Regions from separate parts of the Mus musculus genome. Here all the other regions are reported to be linked to region 1. The links are microRNA targets in miRTarBase. Many come from high-throughput screens and were not tested one by one. Region 1 holds a microRNA gene; each other region holds the end of a gene's coding sequence.

Region 1 (7,000 bases):
ACCTGAGTGCTCAGAGTCCCAACCCCCATTTTTATAGCTGTGTGACAAGAGCATTGCTGACTATCTCTCTTCAGAACCAGGTTGACCTTTAGAGAACTGTAGTTTGGCTTTGTTAATTTTATAATATGTTCTTGTGTATTACTGATTACTAAAAAAATTAAGAGCTTATGCACATGACATTACTATAAATCAGCATGCTGTGTTATGCTGGCAGCAACCCCAAATGCTTTGTATTACTGTATCTCTTGAATGCATTGCTTTCTGGTGCATAACTATAGTTTAATGCTTATTGATAAGTTCTCATTCTAATACATAATTGTTACTATAGTACAATATGGATGTCAAGTTACTGATCACCTCACAGGTGCTGAAGTTTGTCTTTTGGAACAATACCATTCACTATTGTCTCCAAGGGCTATGAACACAAAATATAATTGCACCCTTATTTGCTCATATTTCTAGAGGCTATAACTGCAAAATGAAAATATTGGCAGGGCTATGCTATTTTTGCAGGTTCTGTGGAAAAATTTAATAGCTTTTGTTAGCTTCAAGAATTTCTTGGCTTGTGGCATCATCACTAGCTCTGTTGAGACATGCTGTTATCTTTTTTGTTGTTGTTCAAATTTCACTCTGTTTTTTATACAGACAGTAGTCACTGGATTTGTGGACCATGCAAACATATTACTGCATTTTCTGTTGATAAAATAGAATAGATGTGATTGAGTTATTTATAAATAAAGGAAGCTTATTTACCTCATAGCTCTAGAGCATGGAAATCCAAGAGAAGATAGTCATAGCTGAAGATAGCCTTAGGCTACATCCAACATGATGGTAAAACAGTAGGGATATAGAAACATGTAAAAGAGAGAAAGCTCTAGGAGCACATTCAGTTTATGACCCAGACCTGCAACACCTATACCACTTCCGTGAGATTGATCCACAATCTAAAGAATAAAAAAAAATAAACTAATCCCATTTAGCTTCTTTTTTTTTCTTCTTTAATATTTTTAATTAGGTATTTTCCTCATTTACATTTCCAATGCTATCCCAAAAGTCCCTCATACCCTCCCTCCCACTCCCTTACCCACCCACCCCCACTTTTTGTCCCTGGTGTTCCCCTGTACTGAGGCATATAAAGTATGCATGACCAATGGGCCTCTCTTTCCACTGATGGCCGACTAGGCCATCTTCTGATACATATGCAGCTAGAGTCAAGAGCTCTGGGGTACTGGTTAGTTCATATTGTTGTTCCACCTATAGAGTTGCAGATCCCTTTAGCTCCTTGGGTACTTTCTCTAGCTCCTCCATTGGGAGCTCTGTGATCGATCCAATAGCTGACCATGAGCATCCACTTCTGTGTTTGCTAGGCCCTGGCATAGCCTCACAAGAGACAGCTATATCAGGTTACTTTCAGCAAAATCTTGCTAGTGTGTGCAATGGTGTCAGCATTTGGAAGCTGATTATGGGATGGATCCCTGGATATGGCAGTCTCTAGATGGTCCATCCTTTTGTCTCTGCTCCAAACTTTGTCTCTGTAACTCCTTCCATGGGTGATTGTTTCCAATTCTAAGAAGAGGCAAAGTGTCTACACTTTGGTCTTCGTTCTTCTTGAGTTTCATGTGTTTAGCAAATTGTATCTTATATCTTGGGTATTCTAAGTTTCTGGGCTAATATCCACTTATCAGTGAGTACATATCATTTGAGTTCTTTTGTGATTGTGTTACCTCACTCAGGATGATGCCCTCTAGGTCCAACCATTTGCCTAGGAACTTCATAAATTCATTCTTTTTAATAGCTGAGTAGTACTCCATTGTGTAAATGTACCACATTTTCTGTATCCATTCCTCTGTTGTGGGGCATCTGGGTTCTTTCCAGCTTCTGGCTATTATAAATAAGGCTGCTATGAACATAGTGGAGCATGTGTCCTTCTTACCGGTTGGAACATCTTCTGGATATATGCCCAGGAGAGGTATTGCAGGATCCTCCGGTAATACTATGTCCAATTTTCTGAGGAATCGCCAGACTGACTTCCAGAGTGGTTGTATAAGCCTGCAATCCCACCAACAATGGAGCTAAAACCATCCAGTGGAAAAAACACAGCATTTTCAAGAAATGGTGCTGGCACAACTGGTGGTTATCATGTAGAAGAATGTGACTTGATCCATTCCTATCTCCTTGTACTAAGGTCAAATCTAAGTGGATCAAGGAACTCCACATAAAACCAGAGACACTGAAACTTATAGAGGAGAAAGTGGGGAAAAGCCTCGAAGATATGGGAACAGGGGAAAAAATTCCTGAATAGAACAGCAATGGCTTGTGCTGTAAGATCGAGAATTGACAAATGGGACCTCATAAAACTGCAAAGCTTCTGTAAGGCAAAAGACACCGTCAATAAGACAAAAAGGCCACCAACAGATTGGGAAAGGATCTTTACCTATAAATCAGATAGGGGACTAATATCCAATATATATAAAGAACTCAAGAAGGTAGACTCCAGAAAATCAAATGACCCCATTAAAAAATGGGGCTCAGTGCTAAACAAAGAATTCTCACCTGAGGGATACCGAATGGCTGAGAAGCACCTGAAAAAATGTTCAGAATCCTTAATCATCAGGGAAACGGTGAGATTCCACCTCACACCAGTCAGAATGGCTAAGATCAAAAATTCAGGTGACAGCAGATGCTGGCGAGGATGTGGAGAAAGAGGAACACTCCTTTCAGCTTCTTAAAAGGCCATGTATTCTAACATTTCACAGTAACTTTCAGATTTCAATATGAGTTTCAGGTGTAAGACATACTCAAATGTTTATAGCATAACTTCATGTTGAGTTTACTACCAGAAGACTCAGTTGCATATGAGATCACAACCACAGGTATTGAGAATGATAACTTCAAAATCTCTTTGGAGAGGACATAATTCAATTCATAACAGCCTCTGTACTTGAAGACATACGCTTTTGTATTGTGGCTTTTAATTTTTTTTAAATTTCATTAAGTTAAGTTTGATTTGTATACACACATACACTCACACACATATAGTCATTTTTTACTTTGTAACTATAAATATATAGTTCCAGAATGCAAATATATATATACATACACACACACACACACACACATACATATTCTTGGGTATAAGTCTTTTACTACATATTTGCAATCCAAATGGAGGTCTAGAAAAGGGCATCAGATTCCCTGGAAATAGAGTTATAACTAATTGTGTTTTAAAGGTATGAATCATAATTAAGAACTCAAGGTTAAGATGTTCATCTGAACATTTAGCACAAGGTTTCATTTTGTACCGTTTACCTCTTCTCTTGACTGAAAACTTTATTTTGTTTGTGGATGTTGAATTGAGCTTATCTTTCTGTCTCGACCCACTACTGTAGTTTATCTGATTGCTTATTATATGTGTACACTATCAACCACTATTGTTATCTGAAGATACATGATGGAAACTACTAACCCATCCTAAGTATAAAAGACAAAAAAATTCATGATTTCCTTCGGAATATAGAATGATTTGCATTAGTATGAATATTAGTTGTAATATTGTGGCCAGTAGATCTTGTACAGGGAAGGATCCCTCAGTTTATGCTGACTGCTCATATACAGTTTCTATTATCAATACTAATAGTTGTTTCTTCATATAATGGGATACCTTTGATTTTTTTTTTACCAGAAACAAGCACAAATCCACATATGCCATGGCCTGATTTCATGTAACTTGATTTGGTTTCATTGTCATCCTCTTGAAGCAGAGGTATCCATTGCTTATATACTTTTCTTATTAGCATACCATGTCTGAGTAATAATCACATCACGGTTTATTTCTGTAATTTGTCGACATGTACTGGTATTACAATTAGTAGCCTGTGTTCTGTAGGTGTACGGCTATATATTAGAAACATATATTCCAAGACTTTTTCTTACATTTTAGTCATCTAAGCATCCTATACTATTCAGTTATTCTCTTAGACCAATGGCATGCATTCATTCTTTTAATAAAGTTGAATGGAGTTTATTATTTTATTATTTTTGGCATCACATGCATTTCATTTTTCATATGTGAACTGAGTCATTATCCAAAATGGTTACATAACTAAAAATTTTCAGTCACGTGTTTGAAGTTGTTATACGATTTGTATACATAATGACAGTCTGTTTTTTTCAGAAATGGAATATTTTGCTCCTTTCATGTTAATCTGTACACTGTGTGCTTTCCTACTAATATGAGTTTCTCTCTCCTTTGTCATTGATGTCTTCGCCTGTAACATGGCATTAACACCTGTTGCAAGATGCTCTGTGTGTGCATTTTAGCCAAGTGCTCAGATGCTTGTGGTGGCTGCTTATGCACCACGAATGCTTGAGCATGTGCTATGGTACCTACTTTTACAACATTGCCATCTGCTTCTGGAACAAAGCCATTCATTACTCTGTTTTTAAACCATGTTCCATGGCTGTCTGTCAGGTGACTCACAGCATATTGTCATTTATTATTGTACTTAAAACGGTGGGCGGTGAAGCCAAAATATTTGTGTTTGAATTTGAAAGTATTGATTGTTAACTGTGGGGTCTTGAATACCTCAAATTGCATTTCTGTTCTTTTATTTCCACAAAATGCCAAAGATGTCTCATAAATCTGTACATATTAATACATGATTGCATTTCCAACACTGAGTAGAATGTTGTGAAGTATATGTGACAACAGTAATGGTGGTGCTGATATGATATTCCTTGATTTCTTGTCATGGGTGCCAGTCTCAGTTCTGCAGCTAATGTACATGTCTTTATGGTAAAACAATGATACTTGCAATAGTGTTTTTTTTTTCTTCCATTTTTTATTAGGTATTTAGCTCATTTACATTTCCAATGCTATACCAAAAGTCCCCCATACCCACCCACCCCCACTCCCCTACCCACCCACTCCCCCTTTTTGGCCCTGGCGTTACCCTGTACTGGGGCATATAAAGTTTGCGTGTCCAATGGGCCTCTCTTTCCAGTGATGGCCGACTAGGCCATCTTTTGATACATATGCAGTTAGAGTCAAGAGCTCCGGGATACTGGTTAGTTCATTATGTTGTTCCGCCTATAGGGTTGCAGATCCCTTTAGCTCCTTGGGTACTTTCTCTAGCTCCTCCATTGGGAGTCCTGTGATCCATCCATTAGCTGACTGTGAGCATCCACTTCTGTGTTTTCTAGGCCCCGGCATAGTCTCACAAGAGACAGCTACATCTGGGTCCTTTCAGCAAAATCTTGCTAGTGTATGCAATGGTGTCAGCGTTTGGATGCTGATTATGGGGTGGATCCCTGGATATGGCAGTCTCTACATGGACCATCCTTTCATCTCAGCTCCAAACTTTGTCTCTGTAACTCCTTCCCAGGGTGTTTTGTTCCCTATTCTAAGGAGGGGCATAGTGTCCACACTTCAGTTTTAAAGACTGTGGCATAAGCTTATGCAATGGAGTGCTGACTCTCTTTGAATCAATGCTATCTGGAGTATTCTATTAATCATAACATGATTATTTTCTGCTCTTCTATAATCATTTTTCCCTAATATACTTGACCATCTACTCTTAAGCTATAGTCAAACTATTTGCTTGTAATGTCTGGAAATACACGTTGGTGCAATGCTTCATCATCAGAGAATTGTATGAATATATGTTGTGTTATTGCCTTTAGCATCATTGCCATGTCTTGGTGGCCTTATGAATGCTACCTTTATTCTCATCTCTTGTTTATCTTGGCATATTCCCGTGTTATTTGTTCCTGTATCACATCTACTTTTGTATTATAGAATCCATATAGGTTTTTACTCATGCACCATGGTTGTCTGAGCACATAACATGCTTGTCTGCTCATACCCTATGGTTCCTGAAGAGGAATCTTAACTGTCTACTGCTCTATAGGAAAACAGTGTTTTATGTATCAGTTTATATTTTTGGTTGCTTTTTCCTAGTACATGGACCTCTGCTCCCTTAACATACTGGTGTTTTTCCTGTACCATCTCTATCTGTTCCAATTCTATGGATGTTAACTTGCCACTAGACTTCCTGTGCATCATAGTCCAGTGCTCAAATAAATCCCATGCACTATGACTGCTTAAGCATGTAACAATAGTTTCTCATGTGTTTTATCAGTATGATCTTCTCCTAGTCTGAAGGGAACCATGATTTACTAATTTCAAAATGATTCCATGTCTACTTGTTATAGCATAATTTTTAACTTATACATATCACAAAACTATATAACTAAGCAGCATGATCAGATGCTCCAGAACAAATGATGTCTATTTGTATATCATAGTCATATGACCATCTGGGCATATTCTGCCAGGTCTCCCTTTACATATGTGATATCAATTCATAGAGTAAAGCTTTTTGTTCCTGTATCATAGCTCATTTATAAGATTTATTTTGTGAGATCCTATCAAATGTACAAACAATTCTCATGGCTTTCATAACCTCTGGATTTCTGTTGGATTTCTCAGGGTGTCTTGACTACATGATCCTGAATAAATGTTCATGTATTGAGGTGTTTATTTTTTTAGCTTTGTAACATAACATACACATCTGTGAATTAGCTACTCATGGCTATTTTCTTTTCTTTTTTGTTAAAATATTTTTATTAGGTATTTTCCTCATTTATATTTCCAATGCTATCCCAAATGTCCCCATACCCTCCCCCCACTCCCCTACCCACTCACTCCCACTTCTGGCCCTGGTGTTTCCCTGTACTGGGGCGTATAAAGTTTGCAAGTCCAATGGGCCTCTCTTTCCACTGATGGCCGACTAGGCCATCTTTTGATACATATGCAGCTAGAGTCAAGAGCTCCGGGGTACTGGGATAAAAGGATACAATAGTCACAAGGATACACAAGGATAAAAGAACCTCTGGTGGTATCACCATGCCTGACCTTAAGGTGTACTACAGAGCAATTGCGATAAAACCTGCATGGTACTAGTATAGCAACAGACAAGTAGACCAATGCTGGAGGAAG
Region 2 (7,832 bases), not on the chromosome of region 1:
TAAATATCTGGAATAATCATCCTGAAATTTGTTTTTAGGTTCTTAAATATGCAGGACTGAAAAAAGAAGACATTGCCATGTGGGAAGTAAATGAAGCATTCAGTGTGGTTGTGCTAGCCAACATTAAAATGCTGGAGATTGACCCCCAAAAAGTAAATATCCACGGAGGAGCTGTTTCTCTGGGCCATCCAATTGGGTGAGTACCTAACAAGCAATGCGAGCCAGGCCAGTAGCTGCCTCTGTGTTTCTGTAAGCTGCTTCACCACTGCTCCTGTTTTGATTAGCAGTTTTCCTTTCTGTCCATCTCTAAGATATATTTCTGAGATAATATCCAGTAGTGAACACAGTTAGCACTTCTGTGGCTTGAAACACGACTGCCTTAGGCTTTCTATTGCTATGATGAAACACCATGAACAAAAGCAAATGAGAGAGGAAAAGGGTTTATTTGGGCTATATTTTCACATGGTGGTCTATTGCTGAAGGGAGTGAGGTCAGGGACCTCCAACAGGGCAGGAACTTGGAGGCAGGAACTGATGAAGAAGCCATAGAGGAGGGGTGCTGCTTACTGCTTGCAGCCTGATTTGTATAGAACCCAGGACCACCAGATTAGAGATGGCACCAACCATAAGGGGCCAGGCCCGCCACATCAGTAACTAAGAAAGTATCCTATAGGCTTTTATACAGCGTGATCTTAGGGAGACATTTTCCCAATTGAGGCTCCCTCCTCTCAGATGATTATAGATTGTATTAAGTTGACATAAAACTGTCCGGGACACTAACAGCGTTGAGTAAAAAAGTTCAGGTTTTTATAAGAGTTATCACTCACTTCTTGAAATTCATTGTCTAAACTTAAAAGTACTTACCCACAAGTACTGGATTTTCAGGCAGTTAGTTTGGAATAGAAACTTCTCTGGTTAGTCCTAAATTCTGTTCTTGATTAAAGAACCAAATGCTTTCTTAATCCTAGGATGTCTGGAGCCCGGATTGTTGTTCATATGGCTCATGCCCTGAAGCCAGGAGAGTTCGGTCTGGCTAGTATTTGCAACGGAGGAGGAGGTGCTTCCGCCCTGCTGATTGAGAAGCTGTAGACAACCTGTTTTAGGAGACAGTTCCATGTGACCGGCTGAAGTAAATGTGACTCCCTTGGGCCAGGTTATATTCAGCATAAGCTATTTCATTTTTTATTATTTTCTACTAAAATTTTTAAAAAATCATATCCAAAAAACACACTTAAATTACAAATAAAAATTTCTTCTTTATTTTATTTTATTTTTTTGTAAACTTAAACAGTTGGATACTCTATTATTTGAAATACCAATATAGGTATTTGAGGCATGGCTCAGCAGTTAAGAGAATTTGTTGCTAGTTGGGTGGTACATGGCTTTAATCCCAGCACTTGGAGATAGAGGCAAGTGGATCTTTCTGAGTTTAAGGCTAGCCTGGTCCACAGAGCTACTTCTATGACAGCCAAGAATACACATAGAAGTAGAAACTCTGGAAACAAACAAACGAACAAAAGAGCATCTGTTGCTCACACAGAAAACATTTGGTTCCCAGGACCCACACTGGGTGACACAGCAGGGAGGACTTGGACACTGCACTGCACGCAGAAACCAGAGAAATGAGGTCCTGTGCTTTTCTACCTCACTGCTGCCGGTACAGCAGAAGCCAGCCTTGGGGATAACCTGTAACCGGGTTCTCTCCTGATGAAGGCAGGGTAAAGTTCCAGCATTTTTACATCTAAATACACCAAAGAAATGAGAATATCACAATAGCAGCAACAAAGTTCCTTGACTCTCCCAAGCCCCAAAATAATCTAACATCCATGGACTTCTATTCTGCCATTAGAATGAACACTGGCTGTTTATGTTTTGTTTTGTTTTCGAACTTTAATCCTTGGACAGTCAAAATTGGTTTCAAATAAAGTTATGTGAATGAAAATTTTAAAAAATATGGTTAAGTCTTCCAAGTGAGCACAAGTTATAGCAATCTATGTCCACCAAGCCAACATAGAAGCTCTTTAAAGGAGTCCTGCAAACAAAACAGAGCAGGAAGCAGCAGTCACAGACCTAAGAGCACAACAAAGAATACATTCCAGGAGAGGAACTGAGAGCCAGGAGAGAGACAGACCATGCCCAACTCAGTAAACCAGAAGAGCTATAGAATGAGGAAGGAAGAAAAAATAGTATTCAAGCCAGCCAGAGAATCAACAGAATTACTGTAATGAGAAAATATCCTCAGCCCAAACTTTTAATGGGCTCAACATAAAATTTAAAAATACTATCTCAAAAACATGATCCACTGGGTGTGCATGCCTTTAAATCCCAGCACTTGGGAGGAAGAGGCAGGAGGATCCGAGTCTACATAGCCAGCTTGGTGTACATAATGAGTTCCAAGACAGCCAGGACTACACAGAGAAAAAAATTCTCTCTTGAAAAGATCAACAAAGTATTGTCTTACAAGAGACCTCATTGGCAAAGACTCATAGACTAAAAGTGGCAGAATGGGAAGCCACGTGCTCTCAAGTAGCACAAAATCAAGTAGGTGTAGCTTTGTCCGTCAGTTATAAAAGCTAGGTTTGAAGCAGCTTGTCAGAGAAGACAAAGAATGTCACTAAACATCAATGAAGGGAACAATCACCAAGAAGACAGAAGAGGACTGGGGAGGTAGCTCAGTCGGTAGTGTTGGCCCAGCAGACCTAAAGCCCTGGGTTCTTTCTTTCTATCCCTGCACTACAGAAACAAGCAGGGAAGGAGGTGGAGTAGAGACTCCATAGAGAGAAACGAACCGAGAAACGATCCAAAAAACTTGTGGTGTGCTGCAGTTTCGTACCTCTTCAATGGACTCGGGCTGATTGGCAAAGTGATGTCAGCGAGACAGATGCTCATGCTGAGACAAGACCCAGGCCCGCAGAGGACTTGGGATGTTTAGAGGCCTGTGATGTTAGGCCCAGCAGACAGTGACGGAGGTTTGGTTGGGCTTGCTTATATACCTAGCTGTGCAACACTTGTGGGTCTGGAGTCTTCACTGGTATTTCCCACTACCTCTAGTGGGAGGTGGGCCAAAAGGGATGTTAAAGCGTTCAAGAACCATCATTAAAAATGGGTGTTGAAAAACATTAAAGTTACAGATGTGGATGAACCAGGAAGGTTCACAAAGTCATGAGGAAAGAAAGAGCAAAGACAAGACTCAGGCTGAAGGTAAAGGACCACATGGTTGGGAAACAGGCAGCCTTAGAGTTAGAACAGCTCAGAACCTGCTCAGCATAGTGTATGCAGCTTGTTAATAAAAATACCATGTCTCTGTTTCATTTATTTGGGAGCTAAAATGGGCTAGAGGTGGCACAGCAATGCCCTGAAGTTATTTGGGAGCAACAGGGACATAAGAAATCCCTCAAATTACTTTTACTTTCACCTTGTACAAAAAAACAGTTTTAAAATGGATCAAAGAAGGTAAGATGTTGATTTATGACTTGAAGCCTTGAAACTCTACAGGAAAACAGGAACAATACAGGAATAGAACAAATACTGACCAGGATTCCAGCAGCCCAGGAAAGCTGAGCAAGAACTGAGAAATGGGATTACACAAAATTGAAAGCTCAGCACAGTAAAGCTAATAGAATGGAAAGACAGTCTACAGAATGAAATACTCACTATTCATCTGACAAACTGTTAATATTCATGATAAAGAATAAAAAATAATAACCTAGGGGAAACCCACACCAAATAACCCAATTTGTGCAGATGAGCAAACAGTTATTAAGAAGTGGAAATGGTTTGTAAATATGAAAATGTTCATTATCCTTAGCCATCAGAGAAATGTAAATTAGAACTAAATTTGGGGGCTCAGCAAATTCCTCAGTAAAGTGCCTGTCACACAAGTATGAGGACATGATCTCAGATTTCTCACATTCACATAAAAGCTGAGATTGGCATATGTGTCTAACCCTAGCATGGGGGGGGGGGGGGCGCAAGAGAGGCAAAATGGCTAGGCAGGTGGATCCCAGAGTTTGCTGTTTATTAGTGGGCTTTTGGCTAGTTAAAAGAACATATCTCAAAATATGAGAATGGTGCTAGAAAAATCAAGGAGTGTGCACTGTTCTTCCAAAGGAGCCAAGTTCAGTTTCCAGTACCCATACTAGGTGGCTCCCAGCTGTCTGTAATTCTAGCTCCATGGGATCTAATGGCCTTGTTTGAACATGTGCACAAAACCATACTCAGATACACATGATTAAGAGTAAAAATGAAAAAGGTAGAGACTTAAGACACACGACACAGCCTTACCTCAGTTCTATTCTTGCTAAGTCACACTGCAATGCTTGGTTGGGACCAGCCTTGTCTAGCAAACTTGTGGATACAACAAGCTTCAAACAACAGGGCTCATTCTTGACACTCCCCAGTCAGTTCATGCAAGACCAATGGCCAACATGGCAATAATTATTAAGAGACACCTCTCCTCAAATATGGGTTTGGCTCCACTACTGCTCTTACCATTTCTTGCTCTGTCCTATTTGAAGGGTAGCTAGAGATCAGGCAGAGATACTCCTGCCTTTTCAGGCCAGCAGTGCAAGTCTTGGACTTACCTTCAAGGTTCCTAAAAGGTACATGCCAGAGACAGACAAGACAGAGGAAAAGTGGCATCAAAGAGCCCGTAGGTAGCATTTCCCATTTCAACAAGGACCAGGCTAACCTCTTGTTTTATTGCTATATATCAGTCAAGAACCTTCCCTGCTCCTTGCTTCAAAAAGTTCTGCCAGTCAGAACTAGGAGAGCGTGCAAGAGATACTAAATTCTCATTGGGTATGCAATGCATACTCAGGCTCCATGTAAGTGAATATAAGTTTCTTATCCAACCCAGGTAAAATGTTCCAGAATGTACAGCTAGTTGTTACCCAGTGACTCACACTTTATAGTATTATCACTAACTCCTTCAAATGGAAGGAAACAGAGCCCTACTCCCAAAGGCCAGTGGTCCTAGGGGTTCATAGGATTATCTACAGCAACAATAACCTGGGAACATTGCAGTACCTTTTAAATTGTGTAAGCAAGGCCAGTGAGACAGCTCTGCACATAAGTGTGCTTACTACAAAACCTGATGACCTAGAAGGAAATAATTCAATGTGTTGTTTTTTTAAAAAAGAAAGTATGCAAGCAAAGTTCATTACTTAACCGTGACATACAACAGCAGCCTCACCTGGGACTACTCAGGACTACAGCTGTCTCACTCTACTGTCTTTGGGGATACTAGATAGACTTGCATTAAACTTAAATCCCCCTTGGCCAGTGGTTCTCAACCTTCCTAATGTTGTGACCCGTTGGTACAGTTCCTGATGTTGTAGTGACCTCCAACCATAAAATTATTTTGTTGATATTTTATAACTGTAATTTTGTTATAATGCGATGAATTATAATGTTGACATCTGATATATGTAGCTCCCAAAAGGGTCATGATCCACAAGTTGAGAACCACTGCTATAGGATATGAAGTATTGAAGTGAAAATGGGATCCTCTTAAGTATATATATATATATATATATACATATATATAAAACTTCTAAATATTACTAGGTAATATTGTTTTTGAGATAGAATTTAATGTAGCCCATACTGACCTCGAACTTACCATGTACTTGAAGAGACCTTCACCTACAGTTCTTCCTGCCTTCATAGCCCAACTGATGGAATTATAGGCTTGCACAATACATTCTTGTTCCACTGTAGACCCAGACTTGAGCACACTTCTAAATTCACCAAGGATTAATCGGCATCATTACCAAAGACCTAACTGGCCATTTAAAGGTACTTTCTCAAAAAGAAAACAAAACACCCGTATCCCCAAAACCCTCTTAAACTGGTTCCAGTTTCTGACATTAAAAAATACTATATGATTTAGTTCACAGATATAGATATATCAAGGCATCCCTAACTTTTCTGAAAAGAGTCATTCCCCTTTCCAATAATGAGGTCCCCACCTGGCATCTCAGGCCTTCCTCTAAATGCACATGTGTTTGGCCTTCTATATCCATCCTGGAATCAACCTCACTGCATTCTCTCCCTGGATACCTGGACTGTTCCAGGCTCTTTCATTGCTCAGTGCAGCCAGCTGTTTGACATTAGGTATAGTATAGGGCGCATGTGTTAGCAAAGTGGAACTGGTGTTGCCCACAGAAGCAGATAGAACTACAAGACCCAGGTGTCCACTGGCTGTAAAAGGCCAAGACTGACTAGCAGAGGCAGGTGTGGAAATCTGTGATATGGACTTGTACAGGAACCAAGGCAGGCCAGTGGAGGCAGAAGTAGGGCCTGAAGCCTGCCCGAGTTGCTGAGACTCATGTTTTTGGAGGTCTCTAAGCTCCTGCAGTATAGTCTTTTAATAAGTGGGACATCAATTCCAGATGGATGATTTCTTAAAATAGGACATTAAACAAAAACACTTGAAGAAAAATACAGAAAATATTGACATCTGAGATCAATCTATTCAACTATAAACCTGTATCTAGAATATAGAAAGAAAACTGAAAATTACAAAGGCAGACAATTCATTAAAAAGATAGGCAAAAGATATGGATAGTTCACAATAGCAAGGAGTATACTAACATACTCTTCAAAATGATTAACATGAAAACCGTGAGCACTGGTGACAACTGCTGAGCGGTTACAGACAGCCACATTCACTCAGGATAAATTAAACATGTTTGGGAATAAACGACACTGTGATCCAGCAATACCACTGGGTGTGTAAAAGTACATATACTGTTGCAGGATATTTGGTCACAGGCTGAACCCCAAGATTGTGTTATTTTCTGGGAAAAAAAAAAAAAAAAAGCTTGTGGTGTGGCTCAGCTCTAGCACTCGCCTAAATTTAATCCAGGAGCTAAATAAAGTCAGCCATAGGTGAAGAGGTGGAAGAAGCAACCAGCGGACAGAGTGGACACAAGTCAACAGAAAGGGGTGGGAATAGCCTCTGAGGTAAAAGGGCTTTAGCCTTCCAGGACACTGGTGGGAGTAGGAAGGTCAGCTGGGTGCTTTCTCTGCCTCTCTGAACTATTAGGTTTTCAGCTCAGGACCTGGCTCCTGAGTCTTCGTTAGTAAGATTGGACAGCTGGGATTTTTGTCTTTAAAAAACAGTATACTTAACTGAACAAGTGTAGCAGTTCCCCAAACATAAACAAGCACAGCCATGGCCCCATACTGGACATCATTCGAACATAAAATATTTGTAAAACTAGATCCACTGTTTAAAATCAGACCTATACACAGATTGAGGAAGACTGACTAAAACACAAGCAACCCTCACAATGAATATCCTATACTAACTAGGAAACTTAGAACTAATACAAGAAGCTGAGCCCATGCGTCTAGAAGGCAGGGTAGTGGTGACCCTTTGGGCTGGGAGCCATTAGGAGGGATACAGGACTTTAGAGTGTTGGGAGTCTTGACCGGGATGATCTGTAGTTTGAGGAAATCCCTTGAAATGTATGACTTCATGCATTTTCTGTTTATGTATATAAGCATACGACTGTAAAAACTTTACATTGGGTATCAGTTTGATACCTACTGATTGGGGAATGAAAGATATGTTTTTTCCTCCATAACTGAAACATGGTTTCCACGGTTTCCCCAAGAGCAGAAAACTTTGTATGTCAGTAAAACACTGCAATTCATAACATGTCAAACCCGAGCCAAAGTGTTTCACACAGTCAGCAGAAATTTACATTAAGAAATAACATCTGGAATGCAGGGTTCTCTAAAATCAGCTTGGCAAGAAATCCCGAGGATAGTGATACATACAAAGTTCTCTGGAGTGCCAGACATGGCAGCACACCCCTGCAG
Region 3 (7,832 bases), not on the chromosome of region 1:
GCTTTCCAAGGCACTGCATAGTCCCTTCACGTCTTCCCACTTGCTTTTTATGAGCTCTCTTTTTCAGTCCATATTTTCTGAGTATTTCTCAGAACCCTCGACTTAAACAAACATCACCTCCTGGATGCTCGCTCTGCCCACGGTAACCACTGCACTTTGCCTTCATCGGCCATTTCACTGTGTATTTGAAAAATCTCTTCTAAAACAAAACCCCAGACTGGGGATGAGGTTCAGTGGCGTTTGAAGGCTCTGGGCTTGGTCCATAGCACTGCAAACAAACAAACAAATCTACACGAGAGGAGGGCATTGCATTCCAGATTGCTCTCTACCATCCCTAACACCTAAATGTGGGTATGACACACAGTAGGTATTTGACAAATATTTCTTAGTTGAACTCTCTATGCAGCAATATTTCTTAGATGACAGCAAAAGTGTGAAACACCAGCAACCAGTTCTAGTAAATTAAGCACACACAAACAAGCTTAGTCCACTTTTAAATTCTCCTCTAGAGCTGGCCTTGGAGAAACATGCTGCAATCCCAGGCAGCCTGGTCTCCAGAGGGAGCTCCAGTCAAATACATTGCGGTGTCAGACTGTCTCCCAACAATACAAACTAAAAAGTGAACAAATAACAAAACAAAGTTAACCCTGCTATTGTGGTTATGGACCACACCCTACTGATGGAGCTCAGTAAGGATGAAGAACGCTCAGCTGACCCAGGCTTAGGATAGGCCGTACCCATCACCGTGGCCAAGCTTAGCATTCTATTAAGGACCAGATCGCTTTATAGTTATTTGTCTTGATGTGATTCAAAGATAATGTATCTTACACAGATTCTTTTATTTGGAACTATAAACCTGGAAGGGATAACCTACGCACTATTTATTCCTTTGTACCTTAAAACGCAAAGGTACAAGGTACACAACATAATGAAATAATCACAGATCCCCTCACAAACAGCACATTTACAGGACTAGTGTGGAATCATCAATGGTGACATACAAAAAGGAGCATGCCATTCCCCATCACAGGACATGTACACACCTGGGAGGAGCCCACCTCTTCCTACAGAGGGCTTTTGGAACAGATGGAAATCTGTTAGGTCAGGCTGGTAGAGAGTGGACAGGGCTTCAAAAAAGTGTAGCACTGGACCATCAGCTGCCAGCCGCCTGTCTCAGGCATCTCCACTTAGTTGCAGACAGTAGTCATTTCGATGTTCCTTGGACACTGTGATGCCTGTCGGCTTCCAATTTTATCATGCACATGTTCAGCTTTGTGCCAACAAAGAATTGTTTTGAAATGGAAAGGAAGTGTTCCCTGAGAGTAAGAAAGTAAGTTCACTTTTGGAATGCTTTTTTCTTTTTCTTTTTGTTTTAACATATTCAAAAGCCAAGTCTTTGTTTTCCTTTAAGCAGGTAACCTGGGCAGACTTCTACTGGGATATCTGCAGCACCACACTTTTGGTTTTAAAGCCTGGCTTGTTGGATATCTACCCCAAACTGGTGTCATTACGGAACAAAGTCCAAGCTATCCCTGCCATTTCTGCCTGGATACTAAAGAGGCCACAGACAAAACTCTAGATGAATCAGGACCCATCATCAGATGAGAACTCCATTAGCTGGCTAGAGGATCCACATACTTCTCACCAATAGGACTGTAACTTTGTAGTACTCTGCTTGCTGTGTATAGCAACTCAAGGGGTGTTGCAGTTTTGTCTTTATCTGCAGGCACTTAGTTTCCAATCTTTTATTTTTTCAAAACTTTACACTTTATAATTGCAGGGAAATAGTTCACAATATATGTAGTTGTGCATATCAAGATGTATGGAAGCTTTAAACAACACTAGTTTCCTGGCTAGGGTATCAGTCAACACAGTATCTTAACTATGAGTAAGCATAGTTAACTATGAAATACAGATTTTGCAGCTAGCTCTTCAATCAGCAAATTCCTACACAGAAACTAATGGTCATTATAATGATCACTAACTACTGCATGTTATTCAGGTATACACCAAAGTGTATAAGCTACTTCACAAAAATACACATCTGTCTGACATGTCACAAAATGGGTAATAAAGAAGAAACTCATCAAGATTAAAGGACAGCCAAGAAAAGTGATGTTGAAGTTTAATTGAAATTCCACAAAATGGAGTAACAAAAAGTTACTGAGTTCAGCATTGTTGCAATTCAGAAGGCTGTAGAGACAAGGAAAGGAGCTGTGACATAGAAAGTTCGATACCCCAGAGACAAGAGACAGAGGGTTACAATAATCTTTCACATGAGAAAAACAAAAGCAGGCTGGAGAGATGGCTCAGCAATTAGCACTGACTGCTCTTCCAGAGGTTCTGAGTTCAATTCCCAGCAAACCACATGGTGGTTCACAACTATCTGTAATGGGATCTGATCTTCTGGTGTATCTGAAGAGAACGACAGTGTACTCACATACATACAATAAAGAAATCTAGCCGAGCGGTGGTGGCGCGCGCCTTTAATCCCAGCACTTGGGAAGCAGAGGCAGGCGGATTTCTGAGTTCGAGGCCAGCCTGGTCTACAAACTGAGTTCCAGGACAGCCAGAGCTACACAGAGAAACCATCTCGGAAAACCAAAACAATAGAAAACCAAAACAATAAAGAAATCTTAAAAAACAAACAAACAAACAAACAAAAAACAGTAGACTAAGAAGACTGGGAGAACATGTGTGCAGAACATTCACCTGGTAAAGATTTGTTTAAAATATAAAAGAACTGTGAAAATTCAATAGTAAAAAAAAATAAATACCCAGATTGAAATGTTAGCTGGAAGATACACAGATGGCCATGAGCCTGTGAGGAGGCAGCAATACAGTGGCACTAGGGAATTATAATAGCAGTGCTGACTAGAACAGTAAAATCTCAAGACCAAATAAACACTGGAGAAACACTGAAGTTATGGGACCTGGGGACAGGAATGCAAAAGATGGCACTGAGAGAACTAGTTTCTCAAAAATTAAAATGTCCCCTTCTGTGGGGCCCGTCAGTCTCACATTGTGTATTTACTCAATGAGCATGTCCACACTAAGCTTGAACATATATCTTGGATGCTGCTTCACATACAGCTGCTAAAACTTTAAAAACCTCAAAGATGGCCTTTAGCAGGAAATGCAGAACAATCCTTGGTGCGTACACATCAGGGCTAGTAAGCCACGAACAGTACATGGGTGAGCCAGTGCCACACACAGCTAAGTGAAAGGAGCCAACACAAAAAGGCTCCAACTATGCAAAAGAAGAGGATGAGAAGCTGCCCAAGCCAGTGGTGACATGGGCAAGACGGGAGGCAGATGGGCAGTCCGGGCAGTCTGTTCTGTGGGATGCTGTCAGAGAGAATGAGTACACGTCTTTACATTTATAAACTTACTCAGAATGCAGAACACATGCAAACTGTAGCGTATGTAGCACATGTTAGCAACAGAGGAGACTGTAGGTGTGGGGACAGCAGGAAATGGGACTGCTCCTAGTGTTGCTGTGAACTGAAAAAAACAAACAGTCTGCGATAATTAGTTTTTATTTGCTGACAAAGTGTAATAGATACACAACAGCTTACAGGGAGGGAAGATTTGTGTGGCTCCACTCATTGGCTCCACTGGGTTGGAACTGTGGAGCAGTATGTGCCAAAATGACTGTTTACTTACTCATGGTGGCTGAGAAACAGAGTGGAAAGCACCTCTCTACACAATCTTCTAAACAACAGGCCAGTGAGCTGGCTCCATGGATAAAGGCATTTGGCGCCAAACCCAGAAGGCCTAAGATCAGTCTCTGGCACCTACATAATGGAAGCAAAACACTGACTTTCACCTACTGTCTGTCCTCTGCCCTCCCCTTAAGCACTGTGGCATTTGCACTTATACTCATTTTATTTTTTTTTTTTAAATGCAACCATTTTATTTTTGTTTATAAAGGGTCTCCTAATTAGCAATATTACTCCCCAGGACTGTTTTGGACTGTTTTCTCACTTGGTATCTGAAGGCTGACTGGGATGCACAATGTGGCCCAGGCCCAAGCTGGCACTGCACTCACTGTAATCTCGTTTCCATGCTGCCGAACCTGGATCCCTATTTTAAACTATATTGATGGAATGCACACTTTGCTTTGTATGTTAGCTTCATTAATGTTAATAGTGTGTGTGGTATGTTGCAAAATGTATGGAAATACTAATAAAGATGATCTTGTGCTTTATGTGAGATTCAGAAGAACATATTGCTAAAAGGCAAAAAATAAAAATAAAAAAGGAGATTGTAGGGAGAGAGAAAGAAATACATGTCCAGATAGGTGTGCTCTTATTTAACATCTCTTCTTTTTTTAGAACATTTTCTCTGATTTAACAGGGCTGGGGGGGGGGGGAACAGAGGACAAAATTTTGTATGTTAAACATAAAATGCATGAACTTGATCTTTTAAATAAAATTTTAACATTGGTGGCTGTTAAAATAAAAAAGAATCTCGTTGCATGGGTAGACATTGTGTGATTAAAACAATCAATAGGAAAAAGTCTTTAGGGAAACATACAAACAATGCTTTTAATGAAGGTGGAGATGACCCTGATGCGCAGGTACTTCCCTCTGTATTACCTTCCATAAAAGATTATCCTTTTTGTTTTGTTTTGTTTTTTATTTGGTTTTTCAAGACAGGGTTTCCCTGTATAGCCCTGGCTGTCCTGGAACTCACTTTGTTGCTAGGCTGGCCTCGAACTCAGAAATCCGCCTGCCTCTGCCTCCCAAGTGCTGGGATTAAAGGCATGTACCTTCACTGCCTGGCTAAAAGAGTATCTTTAATGGAAACAGAATTTAGGAAAAGTAATAAACACAATTCCTATGGGAAAAATGGAAACTCAAAATAGTATTACATATTTCTATGATCAGTGTAACATCAGCATGCTCTATAGGGCAGTATTTAACATAGCCACAATGTTAAGTCAGACAGCCACTGAAGAAGGTAGATCCCTTCTTTACAGGCTGCACAAATAGAAACCCAATCTTCTGATCCACCCACACCTTGACTCTATTGGAACTCCTATCGGCGAGTCACCTGTCCAAGACAAGACACATAAGGTGTCTTATTACACATATATGACTTATACTAAAAAAATAAAACCTATTTCATGATGGGTGGTGGACATCTTTAATCCCAGCACTTGGAAGGCAGAGACCAGCCTAGTCAACAGAGTTCCAAGACAGCTAGGTCTATGCCAAGAAATCCTGTTTTATAAAGGAGAAAATAAAAGCCTACCAATGGACTGTGATGTTTAATGACACTGGCCCAATGAAAGGACAATTGAGGATTCATTTTATGTACCAAATCCCTATCCATTGCCAAGCAATATCTTAAACATAAGATGGTCCTGTTTCTGTTCAATATTACATACTTCTCTGGGGAAGGAGAACGAGGGCTAAAAACCATTACAAAGGGTGTGAAATACAACTTAATGATCACAAATATTTTTATTAAACCCAAGACATAATAAAATATTACAGGGAGAATCCAACTACATTTCATTAGAAAAAATTCAGATATAACAACACCACAACCAATGAGCCTACTGTGGGAGACACATTTCACACAGAAAAGTTAAGGGAAATTCACTGTGGGTTTAAAAGGTACAATTTCCAACAACTTGACTAAGCGACCTGGGTACTGTGATCACAAGGAGGTAGCATTAACACCTGCAAATTCCTGGCAGCCCCGTAGTGGGGAGATAAATTTGATACAGTCATATATCTTCAATATTAAATCTACTGAGTCAGGAGTTCAGAGTCTCAGATACCTGAAAAAAAAATAGCACTGTAGGATTGTGTCACCCATCTAAGTGTTTACCTAGCACCTCAGCACTGGGGGTGTCTTGAAAAGTATGAGCTACAATAATTAACAAATCTCTCATTTATAAATAAGTTTATTTATAATGATATTTACATTATAAAACAAAGCACATAAAACTCACAAGTTATACAAAGAATCTGATGTATAATAAAAACAGCAATATAGACTGACAGGCAAAATTTAAATGAAAAGTTAATAAAGACTGAAATACCAAATAGACAATTTTACTTCTAAATTTCACTTTGTCACCCACACTGAACTGGAATTGAACAATGGCTTCTCTTCAGGTGGTTCTGTATTGGAAATCCTGGGAACTGGTAAATTATATTTTGTTAAGAATTTAAAGTTAATGACCTATTTTCATGCAGTATCTAGCATTACCTTGGTATGAAGTCACATCCAGTTTCCTTTGAAGTGAAAGTATCTTTAAGTTAATCTGTTCTGCTGGACTAGAAATATGCCACCAACATCTGCTGATCTTGGTGATTCAGCAGAAGGAAATGTGTAAGAGAAAACTGGAGCAGAAGTGACTGGGCAATGGTTAAGAGAAGCAAAAGCGGGAGAGGAAGCTGATAGCAACACACACAAGCGAAGGCAGAGTTAATGAGCCAGAGGTGCAATAAGAAAATGAAAGAAGGAACTGACCCCCCAGAGCAGGAGAAAGGCTTCAGTTCCTACTCACTGGAAAACAACTTAGTGCTTAGCCAAACAAATGTGTTCTAACAGGAGGAAGAAGAGGACCTGGGGACATTAGTGGATGGAATGCCACCTTGTGATTCAGGCTGAGTTCTTACTGACATTGGTGAACATCTGCATCAAATAGCAATAAAATGAAGACTGAACAACCTATACAGCTGCATTCTTTAACATAATAAAAACTTCAAATCAGACAAGCAAAACAAGACATAAACATTGTCAAATAAGGCACATGTAAATCTACACACATTATCCAGTGAAAGACACTATATATATATATATATATGTATATATATCTGGAGGTAGAAATAATTACAAAAATACTGACATTTCTAAAGCATTAGCATATTTGTTACAAACAATCACCAACTAACCCCATTCAGAAAACTGCTTTGAAAAATGATTAGTCAACATTTTCAGGATGTGAGGATCTGGAGAATCCAGTTAGTGGCAAAAAGTTGTCCATACTATGTGAAATGCAACATGAAATTATAAAAAATTACAAATGCTCAGAAACCCCATGGTCACCGTGATGTGAATGTCCTTGAATGCACCAAGTTGATATGTCCTCATCAATCAGGAATTCCGCGCTCTCCTTCACAGGCCCATTGATGTTTTTAGTAATGTGGCTATATCTGCTGGCATACTTCCTTCATCAGCTGCAGGGCAGAAAATAATGTGAAAGTTATGCAGAAATATCCGGGCTTCTAAGATGTATCTTCCTCCCAACCTTTCTTCTCTTTGGTGAATTCCTACCTATAACTAATTCCTAGTTTGTTTTGGTGTCATCTCATTAAAAACCTGACCTAACCTATACAGCTGAGTTATTTACTTTCCCACTTACTGGTAATAGCATAGCTGTAAAGTCACAACTATTTCTGATGTGTGCAGCAATAAACTACAAATGGCTGAAATGCAGCACAATGAATCAAATCTCTCAAAAATCTGAGACAATCAAAACTACAGGAGTACTTTCATGTGTTCTACTCTCTGGGTAAAAGATGCATACGTACAAGACACTGAACACTGGACAAACTGTTAAGGAGTTTACAGATACCCTTCCCTTCAAGCGTATTTAACAGACTAAAGACAGCCCATGGCATTAAGATATCAATTCTCTTAAAACTAACTGGCATTCCACATCCCACTAGAGAAATGTGGAGAAAAGACTATGGAGACTCTTTTAGTGTCTTTACTAAATAAAATCTTTTAGTGTTTTTACTAGATACTATTAGAACAAAATAAAATCTAAAGTGTGAACCTTAGCAGGATCCTTGTTTCAAAAGAAA
Region 4 (7,832 bases), not on the chromosome of region 1:
GAACAGACAGATGTAGAAAGAATTCCCTACTGAGTCCCTAGTCTACCACTTAAACTTTAATAAGGAAATTTGGGCCACACAAACTTTCCGAAAAGGAAGTATACAAAATTTTCATATCAAATTCTTCTAAATCTTCTGTCGTCTAACTACATCTATTGGAAGAATGTCAACTCCCTCCATCACTTTATCAAAACACAAAACCTATGTATGTGTTTATAAATTCATTGAGTAGGTATCTTTTAGTTGGCTTGTTAGAAGCTAGAGACACTAAGGAAGGTCCATGCGTTAGCCTGATTTCTGGATAAAGGTTCTAGGCATAATCCAAAGTCTAGAACACTTCCATGAGACCAAAGTGATTCTGAAACTCTGACTTGCTTCAGGCATTATCCTGATCTACAGTAATCATGTGCCCGTGGTTGACCACCATAGCCATGGGTTCAGAAAATTTAGAGCATTGCCAAGCATTCATCAAATGCATCCTATTTAAATAATAAATCACCTCCCCACTCTTTCATGGCCTAAGTTGACCTAATTAGGGAAGACTTGCCTTTTTAAGTGATACCTTCCCTGAGGATCTTCCTGAAGCAGAACCAGGCTTTAACAAACCTCTGCCTACACTCTGCCTTGGGTTTGCGCAAATGTAAAATCAGTCTGCTAAAAGTTTCCAAGGACAAAAAGGAGACCTCACAATATTTCTACGTCTTCCAAAGGATTCCAGCATCTAAACAAGGGATCATGCACAGCGAGAGGGACAGCTATGAAGCCGATGGGCCTCTAATTCCCGAGATCTCTGAGACACTGGTATGCCACTCAGGGATGCTGGAAAAGACAATGGCATACATACATACATACATACATACATGCATACATACACACACACACAGGGACATGACATGTAGATGACTATGACTTGTGAAATGTAGAAATTATTACATCCTGCTTGATCAATAGCCATAGGCATACGAATTCTAGAAATTTCACATGGCGACCAACCCCTTTTCTCCATCACATGCCCCCATCCCAATCCAACATCTGTAGACTTCATACCTAGACTAGTTGGAGTTCACTTAGGGTTTGCTCTTCAATTTGTCCTAATCCAATGACAGTGGTAGCTTAGTACTGTGAATAACATCCCTGAATATTTTCACAGCAAATTGGGCAGAAGGGGCATGGGTTTCCTCAGAATATGAAAAAGAAGAATAATATAGAAACAGGACATTCTGCTTTCAGATTCCTGAAGGGCTGTATCCTAGGATATCGGCATCTTGCCATGGCTAGAATACATCCCTTCTCTCTGTTTTATCTAGTGGTATCCTATCTCTCCGTCTCATCATTGCCCAGCATTTGAAGTGACATGGTGACCCCAACCCTGCTATTTTTCACTGTAGCTTCTTCCCTGTGTTGGCTTCAGAGACAGCAGAGGTTGATAAAGTCCTCAGTGACACCAGGGTTGGAGATGGGTATCACCCATCTTAGCAAGTGTTCTGCCCACTGTGCTTTGAAGTCATGAAGTTAGGTAGCTGATAAAGCTCCATCCACTGGAAGCATTCACAGTGAAACCTCGGGCTGTGTATGGAACATTGATTTTTTTTTCCCCAAGGAGAAAAATAAAAGAACAGTTCCCCTCACAGCCTACTCGCAAACAGACACAGCCTTCCTCTCTGCCCGCTTTAGGAAGAAAGAAACCTCTTCTGATATGAAAAAAGTTTACAGAAACAACAACAACAAAACAAACAAACAAAGAAAAATCCCATGGATCTTTAGTTTCACTACTGCTGTTTGTCTAAGGTCTCTGGAGAAGCCACACGTTTGGTGCATCTGTCTCCTTGGATGTCAAAGGACTTTGTGTATTGGCCGCAGCTTCCTGACAGGGTTCTGGTGGGAAGGTGACTCACAGGTGGAAAGGAAGAGAGAAGCCAAGTTCTCTACAAAGACTTGACTGACTGAAATCTAGAAGGCCACGGAGAGTCACTAACAAAGCACCCCTGCTGAATGTCAGACTAGATGCTCTGGCCCTGCCATGGTGAGGGAATGAATGAATTCCATTGAGAACAAGTTATTGTAACATATTAAGATTTTGGGCTTAAAAACCAGCCTTTTCAAGACTTTGGGAAGATAAATGCCATCTTGCATTATAGAGAGAATGCCACTCCAACTAAAAGAATTCCCTTTGACTCATTGGAGTTTCACTTGGTAAATAAATCTAAACGTGATTGAATGTTTTTCTAGCTACTCATTTAATGATGCAATAAGACTTATCCACCTCTTCAAGGGCCTCTCACCCCACCCCACAGGCTGCCATTTTATTTATCTGTAGTGCCAGGAATCCAGCCCAGGACTGGTGGAAGCTAGACAAATGCTTTACCAGAGAACTCCAGCTCTGACTGGATCAGCTAACTTTATCAGAGAAGCTGGGAGGTGAAGCTTTCCTGGAGACTGCTTTACTCACCCACCCCACCAGCCTCCCAGAACCCCCTTTTTATAGGTTTGCTTGAGTGCCTCTTCCAGATGAACCCCAGAAATCTGGAGGTGAACCAGCGGGCTCTGTGATGATGCCCAGGCTTGCCAGCTTTTCCGAAGGACTGCATGACTTCAGTTCACTCCCCCCTCCCCCCACCCACACCCCCACCCCCACCCCGTCTCTGGGTCTCTGTTTTCTTTTCTTTCCAGAAAAGAAACAACCAGCAAAGTTCCAATTTGATCTTAGAAAGTCTCTTTCCAAGAGAACTCCAGCTGAATATAATTCCTCTCGCTGCTGTGCTCTGGAGAAGCACAGGTGGAATTCAAACCCACGGTTTTCATCAGCCAAGAAGCTAATCCCCAGGGGAAAAGGAAGCACTCATTAGTGGGCTCCTCTCTCCCCCATCCCTGCCAAACGTCACCGCATCCCTCTTAGGCTCTACTCTCCTGAGACTGAAGCCCTGCCGGACCCTTAAGAGTAAAGAGAAAAATCTGTCGCAAGCACGCAAGCGCACTGCCAGAAAGCAGAGTTTTTTGGAAACCCAGAAGGAAGTCTGACTGAAAAGAATGAGCTGCCTGCGACCCCCCCCCCCCACACTCCGCCGTGCCCCCCCCCCCCAAGCTTCTTTAACTGCTGATCTGAATCCCAGAGGAGGGATGGAAGAGAAAGACTGCTTCCTGCCTTTCTGTTTTTTTGCCAGTTACTGAAGCAGCAATCAATTGTGGAGCCAAAGAAGATGAGAGTTCAACCTATTAAAAAACGACAGCTGCTGCCTGGCAGTGGTGGTTTAATTAATGCTTTGATCCCAGCACTCGAGAGGCAGAGGCAGGAGGATTTCTGAGTTCGAGGCCAGCCTGGTCTACAGAGAGTTCCAGGACAGCCAGGGCTACACAGAGAAATCCTGTCTCAAAAAACAAACAAAACTGCTTCACTGCAGTTGTAGCACTCTCTGAACAGTTTCATTCAGTGGCTTCTCCCATCCCAGCTCCCTCTTAAATACATTGCACTGGTGTTCTCTGAGCTTGGACCTTCGTTTTCTTGGTACCACCTCAGCATCTTCACCATTGGACTTGTTCTTAAAACTTAAAAAAAGAAGAAAGAAAATCCTTCCACCCCCATCCTCTCTCTCTCTCTCTCTCTCTCTCTCTCTCTCTCTCTCTGTCTCTCTCTCAATGAGGGAGATCCTGAGGCAGAAGGTTGAAGTTTGCTCAATAGGAAATGGTAGCCAAGTGCAGGCCAAGTACCAAGTACCATGTGGAAGGAGCCAGGGCTTTAGGACACCCTCACCCTCACCCCCACCCCCACCCTGCAGCCACTGCCAGTCACACAGTGGCAAGCAATTCATTAGGTGAAGTAAAATACCCATACAGACACTTTTCCCATATACCTCACTCAGACAGTGCTTTAAAATGTTAATAATTTAACAGGGGATGAAAAAGAGTTGCAGTGAGCGGCCTAGGATGTTGGCCATGCGGGTCGGAAGACTGTAATTTGACATACCATGCCTCAGTTAGGATAACAGTAATCCTACAGAGCTAATATTTGTTCAGTGCTGGCCATCCCTTCAGCCTCTCCTAGAGAAAGGCAGTGAAGATTCCAGAAGCCCAGCAAGTTCCCATGAGTCTTTGCTGATAGGACCATTTGCAATACTGTTTGGGTCAGTCAGAGAAGGGAAAGTTTGTGTGTGTGTGTGTGTGTGTCTGTGTGTGTGTGTGCGCGCGCGCGCGCGCGCAAGGTGTAAATGTCTTAAATCAGCTCCCGGTGACTCTCCTTCTGGGGCACTCAGCCAGTCCTGAGCTTGGAAGAAGAAAGAGTTCTCAGTGTTCCTTAATAAACAAAATACTCTGAGCAAATAAAAGGCACCAGCAACCTCCGTGGAGCAAGCAGGCCTGGCTAGCTTAGCAGCCGCTGGGTGAGGCGCAGTGAATAGCTGCGGTGTTGGGGGATCATCTTTCCATCACTTCCTCCAGCCCAGTACTATGGAGAAAGCACCTCTCACCATGCCATCAGCTTAAACTGTTGGAAGCTGCCTAATGGCCTGCCAGAGAAGCAAGGATAATGACCTGCCTCCCTGGGGATATCTTCAGGTATCAAGAAGCAGAGAGGTTGCACTGCATGGGGGGACAAGACTTAAAGCTTTTGTGTTTTCTTAACACAATCCAAAAGCAGGATCTTTTTAAATGTACAAATGCATATTTTATTAAGTATCATGTATCTCCTTTCTAATTCTCTATTTCCTTCATATCATATAACCTTCAAGGTCAACCAGCCACAAAAGCATCTTTTAAAGAAATGTGCCGAGTTTCCTGTTTAAATCAAGCCAACACCCTCCTTTTTTTTCTAAGTTTGACCTTCCTAGAGAGCCATTTTTTCACCACTTCCCTTCAGGATTATCACCTCTTGGGGGTTTTCAGAAATAATTCACAAGTCAGTACAGTAGGGAAAAATATTTATTTTCTAAAATCATTACCTTGACAGGCAAAACAAAGCATGTTCTCAATTTCATTCAGAAATATATATTTTTAAAAAATACATAGACCAATATGGCCTGCCCAGACATATATTTAACATGGTAAATATAAGGAATAAATTGTTTGAATATAAATATCTATAAAAAAATAAGTACATCAAGATTCAATCTAACCTCTTCCATTAGCCAGTTACAATACATACGGGAACATATTTTTACTGCTAAAAAGCACAGACCAGGTTTTCAACATGTACACAAACAACTCTAAACCATTGTGTTTCCCAAGGTCAAGGGCAGGGGCCAGATTCTGTCATCCTTTTTTCTCATAGATTAGAGCTAGCAGATTAGCATGGCAATGTTTCAGCTACTTCTGACTCAATTTCTGTGAGGCAAGGATTCAGTATAGGGGACTGGGAACCCGGATAGCGGAGAGGAGAGAATACAGGGAGGCAATAATTAAAGGTGAGAATGTGTATGACAGTGCAGAAAGGTGAGGTAGACTCATATTCATGAAATACATCCCAATGTACAGTAGTAACAGTTGCTTTGAGTTTTGCATTTTACAACTTAAAAATTGTCTTTTTTTTTTTTTTAAACTCAAGTGTTTGTCCTTCGAGTATGTTTTCAATTTGTGCATTCCTCAGAAAAATTTTTGCATGGACTTTGGAGTTTCTCCCTGAAATGTGCCAGGCGCCTGAGTCAGACACGAACACTCCCTAAGGACTTTCTACAGAAACCCCGCCCTGCTGTGGAATCTCCTGGCTCTCTGAGTGATGCCACTCTAGAATGGCATCGTGTCTCTGCTCTCTGAGAAGTCCTCTGTCATTCCCAACCGGCAAGAAGAGGCAGAAAGGCACTCGCTCCCAGCGGACGCAGACAGGCTAGGGAACACCTCAGCCTTTCTTGGAATGTTTGGATCAAGGATGCTGGTCCTCTGCCCGTCTGAACAAGAAACTGTAGAAGCCACACAGATGGTCTTGCTAAGATCCCAGCCAGCATGGAGAGTGCAGAGCTGGCCATGGGGCTCGCACTATATAAGGGATGACTTCCAAAACACTGGGGGAGCTCTGTAGTCAATGTGCTCGGTTGTGCGTCAACTTCTGGTCTCTATAGAGCTCAGCTTTCAACTTTGCAACACGAAAAGATGCCTTGATGCTATTGCTGATGGCCTCCAACCTATTAAGACAAGACAAGAGAAAAATAAATGTTATCTAAACGCACACTCACAGAGAGGGAAACAAATCACAACTTGGCTAAAGAAATGTCTAAAATTAGGAATTGGCACCAACACACCAAGTCTTAGTTCCTAGCCTTTTACACCAGTTGTGGCAATGTGGTGCTCTTTGGTAAATCCTCAAGCAGTGTCTATGACTATTGTGTGAATAAATTCTGTTTTTATGCTTAGTGCTACAGAGAGGAAACCTATGAGCATGTCTACAGGGAGTTAAGCATCAAATGTTATGCTTAAGCAGTTTCATCCTGCCCTCTGCCTCTGTATCCTACCCTCTGCCTCTGCATCCTGCCCTCTGGCACACTGGCACTTTCTAAATCACATAAGGAATGAATGTAACAGGTGGATGGAGAGAAAAATTAGAGAGCCTACAGGGAGACCTGAGCAAGTGCTTAGTGACAGTTTAAAGAGTGGTGCAATCTGTGTGTGTGTGTGTGTGTGTGTGTGTGTGTGTGTGTGTGTAGGAGCACATAAAGAACTGGAATGTCAATTATCAGTTTAGTGGTAAATGGAAGACAAAGCAGCAAAAAGGTATTGATCCTCAGGTCAGCTCAGCAACTGTGACCTGGTGGAAAGAGACCCCTAGGTGGCAGGTGTGAAGGAGGCCAAGCATGGCTGTCCCCACACAAGAGCAGTAACCAACTCAGAAGTCCTTCCCCACGGCCACATTGGGCTCAGAACAAACACCTTGACCCTGGATTTCTTGGAGACACTTCTAGAGATGAGAGTGACCCTGTGACAGGTTTGAATAAGGGCGCCTTGACCACCCCCACCTTCTCAATTTCAAAAAGTTTAGACTTTCGAAGGATCATTGAAAAGCTGCTTGTAGGTACCCTAATCCAGCCCTCTCCTGTGCCAGTGAAAGCAAGTGAAGGAACATCTGGCTCTAAATGTGCTCATTTCAACCAAAGTAACGGAATAAACCCAAAAAGCAGTGTGCTCTAAATCTCACCAACCTTGCCCAGTGGCTTTGCTTCCCTTTGGTCATTTGATGAACTACTACTTTTGGAGTAACATATATAAATATTTTAAATGCCTTTTCCTTGACATGATCTTTAGTTTCTCGAGGAAATCAGAAAAAGAAAAGAGCCAGAGGAGGAAAGACTGGATATGCTCAAATGTTAAAGCTGCCCCTTAGTGTAGAAGCTCTACCTATAGACTGAACAGTGTGTGCTAAGACACAGTGGGCAGGTGTCTGCACTCAAGGCGCCAGTATCCAAGGAGCCCTTTGCTCTTTTAAGTCCACAGACCATGACGACTCTATTACTGGACTCAAGCCTTTCTCCCACTAGAAAGGACTGGGGAGCCATTAGCACTGGCGTCCAGGGGTAGGAGTCCTTATGAGCCTCTTACCTTCGTAGTTTCCTTCCTTCCACCAGCTGCTGATAGATACACTTCTTTCCCAACTTGGAACAGGGTTTTCCTTTCTTGGAGTCTTTTAAGCTTTTCTGCATGGTACTTTGGGCCCTGTGAAGACAGAGGAGCAAAACCATTTTAGTGGTGGTATGTTGAGATTCACCTTGCCTCTTCATGTCTCTGCTCCTTTCTCTTAAGTGAAAAACAGTCTCACAGGGAGAAGGCCAGCAGGCCGGACAAGTCAAAGGGGCCTCCACTCACCTGAGTTCTTTTCCTGCTTGGCAGAAATTCCAGCACTTCTTGTCTTTTTGGTG

Evidence for each region. Region 1 holds the annotated microRNA mmu-miR-105 (CCAAGUGCUCAGAUGCUUGUGGU, at 4,321-4,343, shown strand). A microRNA usually pairs through its seed, bases 2 to 8, with sites in the 3' UTR of a target mRNA and lowers its output. Matches are read on the target gene's strand: a 7mer-m8 pairs with bases 2 to 8, a 7mer-A1 pairs with bases 2 to 7 and ends in A, and an 8mer does both.
Region 2: the mRNA of Acat1 is a reported target of mmu-miR-105. Seed matches in the 3' UTR shown: 7mer-m8 at 1,393-1,399 and 7mer-m8 at 2,328-2,334.
Region 3: miRTarBase lists Hpgds as a target of mmu-miR-105. Seed matches in the 3' UTR shown: 7mer-m8 at 2,496-2,502.
Region 4: the mRNA of Edn1 is a reported target of mmu-miR-105. Seed matches in the 3' UTR shown: 7mer-A1 at 5,529-5,535.

What each region holds. Positions count from the first base shown.
Region 1 is chrX:72,588,890-72,595,889 of GRCm38, reverse strand. Mir105 (microRNA 105) reads left to right here and starts at 4,311; the gene lies at 4,311-4,390. All of the region lies in intron 1 of Gabra3 (gamma-aminobutyric acid (GABA) A receptor, subunit alpha 3), which reads left to right. Mir767 (microRNA 767) reads left to right here and starts at 5,796; the gene lies at 5,796-5,902.
Region 2 is chr9:53,575,801-53,583,632 of GRCm38, reverse strand. It overlaps Acat1 (acetyl-Coenzyme A acetyltransferase 1), which reads left to right. Exons shown (of 12, transcript NM_144784.3): 11 at 39-196; 12 at 968-3,111. The coding sequence ends at 1,088. Among named protein-coding and RNA genes, the nearest start is that of Acat1, 31 kb to the left of the region's middle.
Region 3 is chr6:65,113,671-65,121,502 of GRCm38, reverse strand. It overlaps Hpgds (hematopoietic prostaglandin D synthase), which reads left to right. Exons shown (of 6, transcript NM_019455.4): 6 at 1,415-4,210. The coding sequence ends at 1,579. It overlaps Smarcad1 (SWI/SNF-related, matrix-associated actin-dependent regulator of chromatin, subfamily a, containing DEAD/H box 1), which reads right to left. Exons shown (of 24, transcript NM_001355250.1): 24 at 5,454-7,202. The coding sequence ends at 7,141. Among named protein-coding and RNA genes, the nearest start is that of Hpgds, 27 kb to the left of the region's middle.
Region 4 is chr13:42,305,052-42,312,883 of GRCm38, reverse strand. Edn1 (endothelin 1) reads right to left here. Exons shown (of 5, transcript NM_010104.4): 3 at 7,780-7,832; 4 at 7,516-7,629; 5 at 4,894-6,107. The coding sequence ends at 6,005. Among named protein-coding and RNA genes, the nearest start is that of Edn1, 7.5 kb to the right of the region's middle.